Linked DNA regions of Drosophila melanogaster. The protein of the gene in region 1 interacts with the protein of each later gene in a pairwise test. Each region holds a gene or a part of one and is shown on either strand. Other genes may lie near its edges.

Region 1 (5,985 bases):
TCTGCCCCGTTTTGACAGTTTATTTCACAGGATATTTGTGCCACCGAATGCCGGATGGAATTTTGCTAAATTGTTGCATGTTTGCCGGATTGCGAGACAGTGGCATGTGGCAAAGCTTGTCTGAATATATTGGAATCTCATCGGAAAAGCGCACTAACACGAGCGGAGGGAGGTATTCTCCGAAAAGGGGATGAGCGCAGTTGAATGGAGCTCTAAGCATGTTAAGTTTAAAAGGGGTGCGAATCCAAAACTCGTGCTGAATTGTTTCAGTTTATAAAGCAATGCAGATTACTCTTTCTGAAGCCTACATAAAGAATTTTACCTTCATGTTTTATAGCATCGATAAGAAAATTTAAATAAATATCATAAAAATAAACAAACAATTCAAGTGAGAAATAAACAAATAATCTGCTTTCTTTATCACTAAAAAAATTTCTAAAAACTTCATCTGATTTCCAAAATTTTCTTGAAAATTATTCCACATCGATTGCTAGTGCTGAAAATATTTGAGAAGGGTAGCCGTAAGCTTTTGACTTGCAATTTTCAAAGACATTGTGTTTACTTAGTATATTTTTATGATTTTAATGAATGTGATTCGTTTCGTTAGATTTATCATAATCCGTACAATAAACATAATACATAATAGTTATCTCCCCTGCACTAAATACAAAGTTATACGTGCTGTTGAATACAGATTATTTATATGGTATATATATCTTTTTCGACTGGTATTGCCTTACTTCCAGAAAAATATATCATTTCGTTGGACCAAATATAAACACAAAAAACGAAAACTCGTAAGGGTATACTTGATATTAATTTGGCTTCTTTCGTTATTTTAAAGGATAGTCGACATATTTGGTTCACTGACAATTGCTCTTCTCAAAATGTACATAGCAGAGATTTGACAACTTCCGTTTCTCGGCAAGTTGGCCAAAACTAACATACTCGATGACATCCTTTTGTCAGAATGAAGACAAAGCTTAAAGTTGCTCGGGCAATTCAAAGCGAACCAAGTGAAGGTCTCTGTTTTAGTGCAGCGGTCTTACCGCTGCTGCTGGTAGATAGGAATGTTGTTCTTGACAGCATCGTTCTGCATGTGATAGCCGGGCGCCCCAACTGGCGGTCCGCCAGCCATGGACATGGCGGCCATCTGCTGATGCAGCTGACTAAACTGATCGTGTGGTGGTGGGTGTTGTTGCTGCTGCTGCTGTGGGGACATGTAGCTCTGCGGGTTGACGACGGCCGGCGATCCGTTCGGTCCATAAAGATTTGGTCCTGGCTGGTATCCCTGTGGTGGCGGTGCCTGCTGATGCTGCGGCGACATGTAAGCGTGCGGAGCCGGTGGCTGCTGCGGCTGCTGGATTTGTGTGACTGCGGGCGGAACTTGGGCGTACTGTGACTGGGGGTCGATGTGGTAGCTGTTCTGGGGATGCTGTGGGGGCTGCTGGCCTTGCTGCTGTGGCGGCTGTTGAGGGTGCTGTGGAAGTGGCTGCTGCTGCTGTTGGGTGGTCACGGGAGTCGGCTGAGTGTAGATTGGCTGGGGCATGGGTGCAGTGCCAGTGGGTTGAGTCAAATGGGCTGGCAGCGCTGGAAAGACGATTGAAAATGTTATTATAGGTAAATATAATAAGTATTTTAATCCTTTGTACTAACAGTTCATCTGTGCGGCATGTCCGTTCTGATAGGGCAGTGGCACCTGCCCCTGCGGTTGACCCAGATAGCCACCAGGAGCTCCAGGTGCCTGAGATGGAGCAGAAGTGGGAGGATTTGGTACGGGGCCATATGGCATCGAGTGCATGCCCGGATAATTTTGGGCCGGTGGGAATCCACCCGCTGCAGGATAACCTGGAGCACCGTACAGAGCGGCACCCGGGAAACCAGCAAGTCCAGGCATAAAGCCGCCAGCAGCGGCGGCAAAATGTCCAGCCGCAGCACGGTCATCCCGCATCAAGGTATGGTACAGATTAATGGCGTCGACGAGGTCGCTGGACAACTGCGTCAGTTGAGCGTGCTTGCGGTCGACGCGTTCCAGCTCGGCATCGATCAGCGGTCCCATCTGATGGACCTCCTGCTCCAGCTGCAGCATTTCGTCGCTGTCCTGCGAGGGATCTTCGGGATTCGCCTCGTGCAGCAAATGCAGCAGCCGGTCGATCTTTGACTCGTCGATCTCCACAGGCTGAGCTGCGGCGGCAGCTGCTGCCGCTTCAGTCTTTTGCTGCAGTGCCGCAGCGGAATCCAACTCTCGTTGCCCGGCTGCGGCGGCCGACTTATGCTGCTGATTGATGTCCAGCCGCTCGGGATCGACGGACAGATCGGCAGTGACAAAGTTCGAGGGGAAGAGACCCTCGCCGCGTTGATTGTATCCCTTCCACCAGTTTGGATCACTATCATCCAGCACATGAATGATCTCGCCGGCAAAGAAGGTCAATTCGTTTTCCTCGGCAGCTTCGAAATCGTACAGAGCTCGAACCTTTCTCGGCTCTGGCGCTGGTGCGGAACTGGCTTCGGCGCTCGGTGCACTCGAGCCGGTTCCAGCGAAAGATGGATACAATGAGGGATAGGCACTGGCGGTGCCGGTACTTGCTACACTCCCAGTCTTTGGACTGCCCTTGTTCTCCTTCAGCGACAATTCGATGGCCTTGGCGATGTCATCCTCTTCCTGCTGGCTGCTGACCACATTCGGATCTTTGGGCAGGGCGGCGGCCTTTTCGGCAACAGTCTTGCTAGTCTTATCGCCAAGATTCTTGAAATCATATCCCTCTTGGCGCAGCTTGGCATAGAGTGCGGGTATCAAGTCGAGCTCTCGATCGTTCTTATAGTCGTTTTCAGCCCAGTTCTTCAGCACTTGGCGCATTTTCTGTGAATCATAATTGGAATTAGAAATGAAATAAGTGAGTTAAAACTGTTTGTACTCACCAGTGAAACCTTTGGCTGTGCTTTGGCCAACAGGCGGCGGAACTCCGTCTCGAAATCCCGTGAAGCCACCTCCAAATGGAGCGGTTTTCCGCAGTTGTTGGACAGGGCGTCCAAAAGCGTAATCGCCTGCATCACCACATGAGGATCGGTGTGGCCCATGCGGCGCATCACCGCCTTCAGGCAATCCTTGGCCAGGCGGGGATTGGTCGTTACCTTGTCGCATACATCCAAAATCAGAGACCAGTTGTCGTTGGTATTAGTTTCGCTGGTGGCCTTTTCTATAAAACAAGAAAGGCATGAACCGCATTAGCTTATCAGTCAAATAGAAATTTATATTCTGAGTCACAGCAAAACAAAGATAAGCTTCTTCGAAAACTGATTGCAGCTAAAGAAAATCAATACAATCGGAAACTAACTAAATTGCATTAAGGGATGGCGAGGGGGTTGGCTGCGTAAACGGAGGGGGTGTGAGGGGCTGCGGGTGCTACGTCACTCAAGGTCAGCGACTGCCATCTAACAACTCCAATAAGAAGTTCAACGAACGACGCAGAGCTGCGCACAGCATCTCACATGACTTTCTTTGTTGTCTGCTCAATCGGGGGATCGGGTTCATAGGGAAAACAGGGGAAAATGGTGTGGTGTGCGGGTTTTTAGACCCCAGATAAGAATAGAAAACTATGAAACGCATATTGGACCGTTGTGCAGTCCAATTGGAACATCGGCTTGTCCAATCGGCCAACACAACAGCTTAACGATAAGTGGTAACTCACCCACGTCGGCGTCGAATGGCGACGACTGCCCAAAGATTCCCATCTTTATGACCAAACCGCTCGCTCGGCTATCTGCCAATAATCTGCGCTGCCCTGGGGTCAATAAATCCAAATCAGTTGATCTTTGTCTGTTTTCCCTATTGTTTTTCCTCTCCAATCGATTTTCGGTGCGTCACGGCGACTGAAAGCACGCTTTTGGTGTACTTCCTCCTGCGTAGACCTTTTCGCTTTTTTCCAAATCTCTTTTGGGCTGCTTATATCTTTTCGATTAGCCTAAAAACTTCCGAATAGCGCTTGCAAATTCGCTTAATTTACGTTTATTGTGTAAAAAATGACTAATGGCGAGTGTGGCCAGATTGCGAATAGTCGGGAAATCCAAAGGATTTTTTGCAGCTCATTTTCAATGGTTAGTTAGAGGTATTCGAGACTTATATTATGCAAAACATTTTTATTTATATATACATATAAATATTATTGATATTGTATATTTAAATAAATTTAGACAACTAATAATATAAATCTATTAAACATCTGATATGATTTGAGCACTGGTAGCTATGGTTTATAATAATTAAACAGTTTTCTATGCCCTTCACTCAAACTATTCTCCTACGGGTGAGAAGCGTATATTATAATAACTATGCACAATATAAGAACAAAACTAGAAGATTAATTTTTATTTAAGAAACATGAAAATATTTTATTATACGTTGACCGAATTTAAAAATACAGTGACTTAACTGCTTCACTGAGAGTCACAGAATAACTCGATTCTAGCATGCGGTCACACTAATCTCAGCATTCGAAAAAAACGCGCAAACAAAAGGGACGCTTATAGAAAATACAACTTAAAATAATTAATTTACTTAAAAATCATAATATTATAAACAAGTCAGCGCCATGACGCTTTCCCGCGCGAAGCACGCCAACCGCAACCACCTGCCGCACCTGCTGGCCAAGGTGCCCGAGGAGCACCAGGAGCCGATCAAGAATATGTGCCTCAAGATGATGTCCCACGACGCATACGGACAGCCGTACGTACAAGCAATAAGCTAATGTATCAATCCGTACTTAATCTGCTCCCTCCAGATACGATTGGAGTCCCCGGGACTTTGAGATGGGCGCCCACTTGGGACGCGGCAAATTTGGACGTGTCTACTTGGCGCGGGAGCGCCACTCGCACTATCTGGTGGCCATGAAGGTGATGTTCAAAGAGGAGCTGCGCAAGGGCTGCGTGCAGCGTCAGGTTCTACGCGAGATCGAGATCCAGTCGCGACTGAAGCACCCGCACATCCTGCGCCTGCTCACTTGGTTCCACGACGAGAGCCGCATCTATCTGGCCCTGGAAATTGCGTCCGAGGGCGAGCTGTTCAAGCACCTGCGTGGCGCACCCAATCATCGATTCGATGAACCGCGGTCTGCGAAGTACACCTACCAAGTGGCGAATGCCCTCAACTACTGTCACCTGAACAACGTGATCCATCGGGATCTGAAGCCGGAGAACATTCTGCTAACCAGCACGGACGACCTTAAGCTGGCCGACTTTGGTTGGTCGGCGCACACGCCGAACAACAAGCGCAGGACTCTGTGCGGCACCCTGGACTATCTGCCGCCGGAGATGGTGGATGGGAACTCCTACGACGACTCGGTGGACCAGTGGTGCCTGGGCATTCTGTGCTACGAGTTCGTCGTCGGCTGTCCGCCCTTCGAGTCGAACAGCACGGAGAGCACCTACAGCAAGATCCGGCGCATGGAGATCTCCTACCCATCGCATTTGTCCAAGGGCTGCAAGGAATTGATTGGCGGGGTGAGTTGGAAGATGTTTCCTTTGAGATCCATTTATTGAACAGGGATTTCATCTTTGCAGCTGCTTCGCAAGGAAAGCAAGGGCCGCATCACCTTGGTGGATGTGATGACCCATTATTGGGTGAAGGCGGGAATGGCCGAAAGGGAGCTGCAGCTGCAGAAACGGGAGCGCGGCAAGGAGAACACGGCCAGAAATTGACTGGTTTCGAGTTTGCATTGTGTAACGACTTATTTCAGATTTTACTTTTATGTTTAATAAACGGTTTATAAGATTTAATGAAGTTTGGAGTATATTTTTGAAATCTGAAAACTGCTTAAAAATAAAAATCTATTGGTAGTAACTTACTTAAATTACCTTTTTCTAATTTAACCCCTTTTAAATTAATTTTTCTAAGCCCATGCCTTACTTAGTTCCAGTTCGTGGGCCATGCTATATTTTCGCGCTTCCCGCAAACGGTCACCCTAAATAAATAAATGACAATTTCAAGCG
Region 2 (3,145 bases), on another chromosome or scaffold:
CCAAAATCAATTTTCATGTCTGGTTCAATGTCATTTCGAAGTGGCGTACAATTACACCCGTAATCCCCTAGCATATGGCAGTAAATCTTGTTGTTTACACTCTCGTTGACCATCGACCATTGTCAATGTTTATTGTTTATTGTTTAACGCTTTTTCTGAATGACGTTTATATTTATATTTATATTAATATTATCAATGGCGGTGAACACATTCTATTAAATGAAATCCGCTATCTTTAAATGCAGTTTGTGGGAATTAGTAGCAGATTGTGTTAGTTTGTGTGCCCAGATTTGACCAACCACTCTGTTATTTGGCCATTTCCCCATTGGCAGATTGAGTTTGCATTTAATACCTTATACGTGATCCATCTGGTAATTAATGTCCCTCGTAGGCCGGTCGGTGAAATAAATTGGATTTGTTGTTAACATTTTAGTCACTGTTTTGTCATTACGCGCTGTGGGAAAGCTGCTGTCAATTTTGTGGCGACCAAAATGACGGTTGGCCAAAAGGCCAAGGGAAAACATCCACAAATTGATGAGATGAGCACTTTAAAGGGAAGTCGACCTGTCTCGGCATTAATAATCCCAGTGCGTGATCAAACTTCAGTCAGCCAATTGCTGGCTACTTATGCCCATAAATAGTTCATTGCATTTCCATTAGGCACTTTGCGGCAATCCGGACGACTGTTCGTTGACCTAATGCGAGCAATTCATTATCTGCAATTAGAGTTCAATTCACAGGCTCTGCCTGGCCAAAGTTCAAGGATCGGCTAGGCCGGCCTCTTGAGGCCATAACACATCATTAATGGTCTCTGCGGCCGGTTGCCAAAGAAAAGTGTAACAATAATGGGCTCGTTTGTTTTCATTGCACACGTGCCGGAGCCCCGACTTTGGTCAAATGTGCTCTTAATAGACCCAGCGTTTTGGGCCATGTTTTTGCTGTGCAAACATTGGCCAACTCTCCTGTCGGCGGCAGCTCCTATTCCCCCTTCAGTGGGCCACTCTTGTGGTCCGGCTGATGGCTCTGTTCCGTCAACTCGGGCGGTTCAAAAAATGAAATTAAATGCGCGAATGCATGTTTAATGGCGCGAAAATGTGTGGAATCTTTTTGAGAATAATTTTCGACCACACCTGGATAATGGGTGCAAATGTGGGTAGATTAGCAGTCGCACTACTCCTCATAGATTATTAGGAGGGACCATTATTAAGGGTACAAATAAGTCAATGAAAGTTCGAACAGGGCCCTGTTAGTTTTTCATTTTTTTAGGGACATCATAATTACAAAGGCTATCCAATCGCATTGAGAACTTTCGAGTTCGCAACTCTATTTCGGGCTCACTTGCAAAGTTTTTTTTACAATGGATATCCTTTAGCATAATTGCATGCATATTGCCTGCAATAATTGCATGTGATATTATTACAGAGATTCCTTTTTTGGTTTTTATTCCACGCCACTTTGAACCAGCCTGATTGTTGAATTAAAAAATTAATGAATGATTTTTGAAATGCCAATGTGAATGGCCGTGTAAATAAAATACAGCAGCCTGACCCCTTTCCATATATCGTCTGATGAATCCTCATGATGTTCTCGGCTGTTTCCATGTATATTTATAAACACCAGCGGCTTAAAACAATAATTCCCCAAGGACTCAGATGTTGTTGACGGTGACAACTATGTGGCGTATTTATTAAAGCGTTAATTGTCGAATCAAAGTAGTCACCGCATAAATAAGCCATTTAATATATCTCAAAAATCTCCAGTTTCCCAAGAGCAGTATCAAATTTTCAACATGTCCGCGACGAGCCTTGTAACCATTAAGTCGATCCCCTCAGCGGGAGATGTCCTGCGGGGTAAAAATGTACCAGTTCACCGCCTCAACGCGAAGTTTGTGGCCAAGGCCCAGGAGAAGGCTAAGAAAGTGGAGGAATTCCTGACTAGGACGAAGACCACTTCGTTGGTTTCCTTGTCAGGACTTGCTTCCCGATATGAGTTCCATCGTCTCCAGGAGCTCGACGAGTGGTATGAGCCAAGGATCAAGTTCCACGACGAGGCCGATGCCAGTTTGCATCCCAGCTACGATATAAAGCACTTTCAGTAGTCAGTTAAGAAAGAACTTGCTGAGTTACTTAGGTTTCCTGACACACCATTATTTCCAGCGATCTTAATTGCTATGTGCGGTATCTGGACTCCAAAGCGAAATATGATAGGCAGTTCCTTCACGAAATGGAGCACATTATTGCCAATCAACGCAATATCTGCGACCAGTTTTTCCTGAAGAAGTAAGCTAAAAGTTAGAAATGATAACATAAATTAACCGGGACTTTCGTGGCTTTTCTAGAATCCTGTGCTATAAAACAATGTGGCCCCCACTGCATACAAAGAGGGAACTGAATAACTTTGTCTCAAAATTCTTTCAACTGCCTCCTAAGGAAAAACGTCGCGTCGAGTATCTGTTGAAAACGGATTTAAGTCTGGGTTGCTAAAACTGATCCAATTGCAAAGTAAATGAGCCTTTTTATTCCACTTGGAAATGGTTTAATTAGCTCATTTAATTTTGCAATTATTCTCTGCAAAACTGATAAAATTACCTTATGGAAAATTGTACAGCCAATAAATTTAATTATGCAATTAAAGCCTTTTTTATAATTTCGCTGCAAAGTTAGTGAGCTAACAAATTGGATGGCTGGCGTAAGAACTGTAAGAAAATGTATTTTATGATTACTTGTTAAATTTTAATAGGATCTCGTTTACAAAAAGGTTAGTCAATCGGACAGCAACTAAATAGTTTTGAATAAAATCCGCATTTGTTTAATTATTCCACTAAATTACATTTAAACAAACTGCCGTTTGTGCATATTAAATATTTGAGCTGCGCTCATAAATAAATTCAAACAATGAATTATTATATTGTTAAACTGTGTAACTATGTGAGCAGATTCATGTTTAAAAGCAATGCAATTGTTTCGACCTCTTTTTACAAGTTACCGATAAGGGATAAATGTGTGCGTGTGTGATTGTATGCGTTTGTGATTGTGTGCGTTGACAGGAAGTGCGTCATTTGTCAAATGCTATTTTATGACCATTTTTTAGCCGTTCAGTCGAGTTTTGTTTGCACCGTGTATACACCTGAAAAAGAGCAAATTTA
Region 3 (4,870 bases), on another chromosome or scaffold:
TCACCTGGTTTCAAGCAAAGGAAACATATTAGTTACGCTCATTCTCAACTGGTTAAATGGGCACCAACCTGATGGACCCGACGACGCATGGCACCGCGACGTCGGTTGAATCCGGCGCGCTCTTTGAACTCCTTGTTGACGGCCACGGTGTGCTCCACCACGGCCTCGGCTTTGGCTTTATCTGAAATCAGATGGAATTGATCAGCATTCGCTGAACATTGTTCAAATCTTTATTTCGCTACGTACCCGTGCGATTCTTTAGCTCAATGATGACGTGAATCTTGCCTTGCGGCTCCAAGTTAACCTGAGAGGTTTCAAGAAGTAAAAGTAAGTATAAGTATTCCTAGAGATTTAGCTACTATATGTTCGAAACCCACCCATAGATCCTGCACAGCCGTCTCGCTCTGCATGAGGTCCTCGAAGGAGATGATGCAGTTGGCCACAAAGTCATCCGGCGGCAGAGCAGCATCATGAAAGACGGTCAAGTTGATGTTGCTCACATTGGTCACGTCGTGGACGAACTGCTCGTTCCAAACAGGATCGAATGTCTTTGGCCGCGTGGTGGCTCGATCTGTGCGTAACAAAATAACCAGATAATGAAATAATAAATAAAGTTAGCTGCCAAATCCCATTTAAGTATGCAACACTTTAGCTAGGTAACTAACATTTGTAACTATCTAACTGACTTTTGTTTCCCAACCATATTTGAATATTTGAGCTGAAATCGAAGTGGGAGGACACTCACCGAAGTGACTCTCGTCGACATCTATGGAGACATAGGGGTCGATGAGCTGCTCGTCGGCCAGTTTGCCGAAGGTGAGATTGTGGCGCTTCTGGAAGTCTGTGGGCCGCAGGCCACTCGCCTCGCACACCTTGATCTGCAGCTTGCCCGTGAACATGGTCGTGCGATCGGTGAATGTCCCGTTCGGCTGCACTAGATCCTATTGCTGGTCGTGATCCTGTTCGTGATCCGGCTGCTCCTCGGTCCTCCGTGCGATGTCCTTGCGTGTCTGTTTGGGGAGCAGCGGTGGACCACTCGGCTTGTGGTGGTGTGCGGCTGGCTGATGATCCTGATCTGCAATCGGAGGAAGAGCAATTCGGGATGGGTTAATCAATCGCCTGACTGCCATTCGCATCTTTCGCTGTGGGCCAATGTTGGCGTAGGTCATTGACACTCGTGAATGGCGTATGCGGTATACTCGATTCACTCCCAAGGTCGATTAAGCCTCGCATCGATGGAATTTGTGCACACACATATCTACGCCCACAGTAGCGGTCAAAATAGTAATGACATGTTAAAGGAATTTGCACCATATATATTTATTTATTTCCTTAACGATGCGTATTAACTATTATATAGCATTTATTAAAAAAATTCAAATGTGATGTATATTCAGATAATAATATTAATAATTTCGCTACTATGATTCAGTATGTTACTGACTTATTCTGGGTTTAATTGAAAGGATTCATGATTCACAGAAAAAAATGTACATTCATTTTTGCAAAACGAAAATCTGTAGCTTACAAAAATATCAATTCTTTTCATCTTTTACTATTCAACACTACTATTTTGGCTGCCACTGTGTTTCAGCCCGTTTGTGTGTGTACATTAGGCAATCGCTCAAACGACAACAGTCCGTGGAACAAAAGTCGAAAATAGTGCGCGACCATCATCTGCTATGGTAATATTTCTAGCGTATAAATCATTCCAAGGAGTGCAACTTTGTTTATTTCGCAATTCCACAGATTGTTGTTTAGTGTACACTAGTCTCGCCACTAGTCTAATGCGCATCCAATTGGGATATAACGCGTTTTCTAATTGGCAATTTGGTGGGAACAAGTACATACTTAGTTGCCCTTTTTCTTCGCACACAATCTTGGGTACTTTCAGTGTCGTTTAGCTTTGATTACATATGTATATTGCCATTGCTTGCTCACTTTTTTATGCAAATTCTTTGTGTTCATGTATGGCAAATATACTCACACTTTCACACACACATACACACGCAGTCAGCTTTTTTCCACAGATTAAACAACAAAGAGAGAACAACAAGAATTTCTAATGATGCCTCTCACTTGCACTTCTGCCACCCACCAATACACGCGCGTCTCACGCCCACTCCAATTGGAAACACCTGACGAAACGCCAATAAGTGCGCTCAATTAACTAAACTAACCCGTCCAATTGGAAAATTTGTAATTTTCTAATTGGTGAAAACGAAGGTCTTCCAGCTGGCAGAGTTGCCGTACTGTCCACCTGTCAGCTTGACACTAACGAACGCAGTGTTGGTAAACATACGAAATGCGCACTATGTTCGTAGTTCAAATATTATATTTCATTGTTTTTTAAATTGTATGCTAACCACTCCGCTTGGCTATGAGATACACGTTTCGCTGACATTTTTCGCTTCACAATCAAGCACCACACACGGAGTAATATTTAGAAAGTCCCATCGATGGATTTTATATACATATACCACTCTCTTATTTTCTTGCTCTCTCTACTGTTGGTATATAGAAAATGTTTAACGTTTCAAATGAAAAGTTATTGAAACGCTTCCTTACAATGTTTATGTGAAATGGGTATGCACGACACCAAATAGGCAGAAAATATTGCAATCAACAATGAAACAAAAAGAATAAAATAATTCATATGCGCGCGCAGGAACTTGTATATCAGAGAAAAAGTGTTCAGCTATGTGTGCGAAAAAATTAAGGATGCCTTCACACTAGAGCACACACACACACACGCTCGACATATGTATGCGCTTATACACACACGCACGCACACAGTTAAACGCACCCGTTTGCACAGCGTTATAAATTTATTGGTTTTCCCAGGCAATTTCCTTGGTTTTCCAACGAATTCGAACAGTTTCACAAAATCACAGTGTCCACCATTTTCCGTTGCATTGCTGGGTAGTTTTCTTATTGGCTTTAAAACTGTTTCGCGTATTACTATTGATAAAAATGTTCACTTCACTCCAATTCTTATTGGAAAAACGTTAGCGATGTGCCAAGGTGGGCGATACATATCGTGGGGGTGCTACAGATTGTCCAACACTTTCGCTGTTAAGCCAAGTGCTTCTCTGCTTGCCAACACTTTTCGATAACCGATAACATAAAAGAGAAATAAATATTACAACTAATATTATCTAGTAAATAAAATCAGGCAATATGAGCTCGGGGCCCATGCGCACGCCGGTCTCGCAGATCATTCTGAGCAAGCACGACCAGGATGCCGAGGAGGAACCCAAGAAGAAGTCCCGTGAGGACTGGCGCAAGGCCAAGGAGCTGGAGGAGGCTCGAAAAGCGGGAACAGCTCCGGCCGCCGTCGACGAGGAGGGTCGCGACATAAATCCCCACATTCCGCAGTACATATCGAATGCACCATGGTATTACGGATCGGCTGGGCCCACTCTCAAGCATCAGCGACCGCAGCACGAGGACGAGCAAGGACAGCTGGACAAGAGGGCGCCCAAAGGACTTAACACCGCACGCATCATTACCAAGTTCCGCAAGGGAGCCTGCGAGAACTGTGGCGCCGTCACACACAAACGAAAGGACTGCCTGGAGCGGCCGCGGAAAGTCCAAGCCAAGTACGCTGAATCCATCGTCGTGCACGACGAGCATTTGGTCAATGAAGCGGCGGTGAACTATGACGAGAAACGAGATCGCTGGAGTAGTTACGATCCGGCCAATCACAGAGAGATCATTGAGGAGTACGAAAAGGTGGAAGAGGCCAAGCGACAACTTAAAGCAGAGAAGCTGAAAAATGGTAGGTAAAAGTGAATTCAGAGTGCTTATAGTTGAATTAATATCATTCGCATGTACCCCTTAGATCCCGATGCTGAAATATCCGATGAGGAAGGCAACGAGGACAAATATGTGGACGAAGTGGACATGCCCGGCACAAAAGTGGACTCCAAACAGCGAATTACAGTGCGCAACTTGCGTATCCGCGAGGATACGGCGAAGTACCTGAGGAACTTGGATCCCAACTCGGCCTACTATGATCCCAAGACGCGCTCCATGCGTGACAATCCCAATCCTGCTGTCCCCGAAGAGGAGTGAGTAACAAAAAGTTGCACATATAAAGAAATTTCTTAACTACTCATTCTTGCAGAGCTGAGTTTGCTGGCGAGAACTTTGTACGCTTTTCTGGAGACACTACAGCCCAAGCCACCGCCCAGTTGTTTGCCTGGGAAGCTCATGGCAAGGGGGTTGATGTGCATCTGCTAGCGGAGCCCACTAAGTTGGAGCTGCTTCAGAAGGAGTACGAGCAGAAGAAGGAACAGTTCAAGTCAAGTGTAAGTAATTGAAAATGGAAATTTCTTGGAAACATTACTATATCCATTTCCTTTATTTTTCCAGACCAAAACACACATTGTGGAGAAATATGGTGGCGAAGAGCATCTACAGGTTCCACCAAAGTCGCTATTGCTGGCGCAGACCGAGGAGTACATCGAGTACTCTCGCAGCGGCAAGGTTATCAAGGGCGTGGAGAAACCGAAAGCGCGCAGTATCTACGAGGAGGATGTGTATATCAACAATCACACAACAGTTTGGGGCAGTTTCTGGAACGCCGGACGCTGGGGTTACAAGTGCTGCAAGTCCTTCATCAAGAACTCCTACTGCGTGGGCATGCAGGAGCCAGAGGGCTACTCGGAACATCATTCTACGAGCTCCACTGCAGCGGCTACTACAGAACCTGCAGCTCAAAGCCAATTCAAGGTACCAGAAGTGCCACCTGAAAGGCCCACTTCCGAAGTGGACTCAGCATCGAGTTCGGAACCCTCCTCATCCGAAGAGGAGGAGGTAAAACCTGAGAAGAAGAAGACCAAGAAGAAGTCGAAGAAGCGCGAGA

What was found.
Region 2: the proteins of Stam (region 1) and CG11286 interact in a two-hybrid assay, tested with the Drosophila melanogaster proteins (one large-scale study listed by BioGRID).
Region 3: the proteins of Stam (region 1) and Pkc98E interact in a two-hybrid assay, tested with the Drosophila melanogaster proteins (one large-scale study listed by BioGRID).

Annotation. Positions count from the first base shown.
Region 1 is NT_033779.5:10,856,582-10,862,566, reverse strand, and holds Stam (signal transducing adaptor molecule), read right to left. Parts: upstream 4,032-5,985; 5' UTR 3,733-4,031; coding exon 3,690-3,732; intron 3,198-3,689; coding exon 2,920-3,197; intron 2,861-2,919; coding exon 1,657-2,860; intron 1,591-1,656; coding exon 1,046-1,590; 3' UTR 561-1,045; downstream 1-560. Other genes in the region: aurB (aurora B), read left to right, coding at 4,590-4,723, 4,779-5,496, 5,557-5,694.
Region 2 is NT_033777.3:7,770,345-7,773,489, reverse strand, and holds CG11286 (uncharacterized protein), read left to right. Parts: upstream 1-1,733; 5' UTR 1,734-1,789; coding exon 1,790-2,097; coding exon of another isoform or gene 2,098-2,098; exon of another isoform or gene 2,099-2,156; coding exon 2,157-2,279; intron 2,280-2,338; coding exon 2,339-2,483; 3' UTR 2,484-2,630; downstream 2,631-3,145.
Region 3 is NT_033777.3:29,037,301-29,042,170, reverse strand, and holds the start of Pkc98E (protein C kinase 98E), read right to left. Parts: upstream 3,016-4,870; 5' UTR 2,807-3,015; intron 2,342-2,806; exon of another isoform or gene 2,099-2,341; intron 1,076-2,098; 5' UTR 900-1,075; coding exon 746-899; intron 572-745; coding exon 378-571; intron 305-377; coding exon 247-304; intron 182-246; coding exon 69-181; intron 5-68; coding exon 1-4. Other genes in the region: Slu7, read left to right, coding at 3,181-3,781, 3,845-4,073, 4,130-4,313, 4,378-4,870. UniProt on the Drosophila melanogaster protein: PKC is activated by diacylglycerol which in turn phosphorylates a range of cellular proteins. PKC also serves as the receptor for phorbol esters, a class of tumor promoters.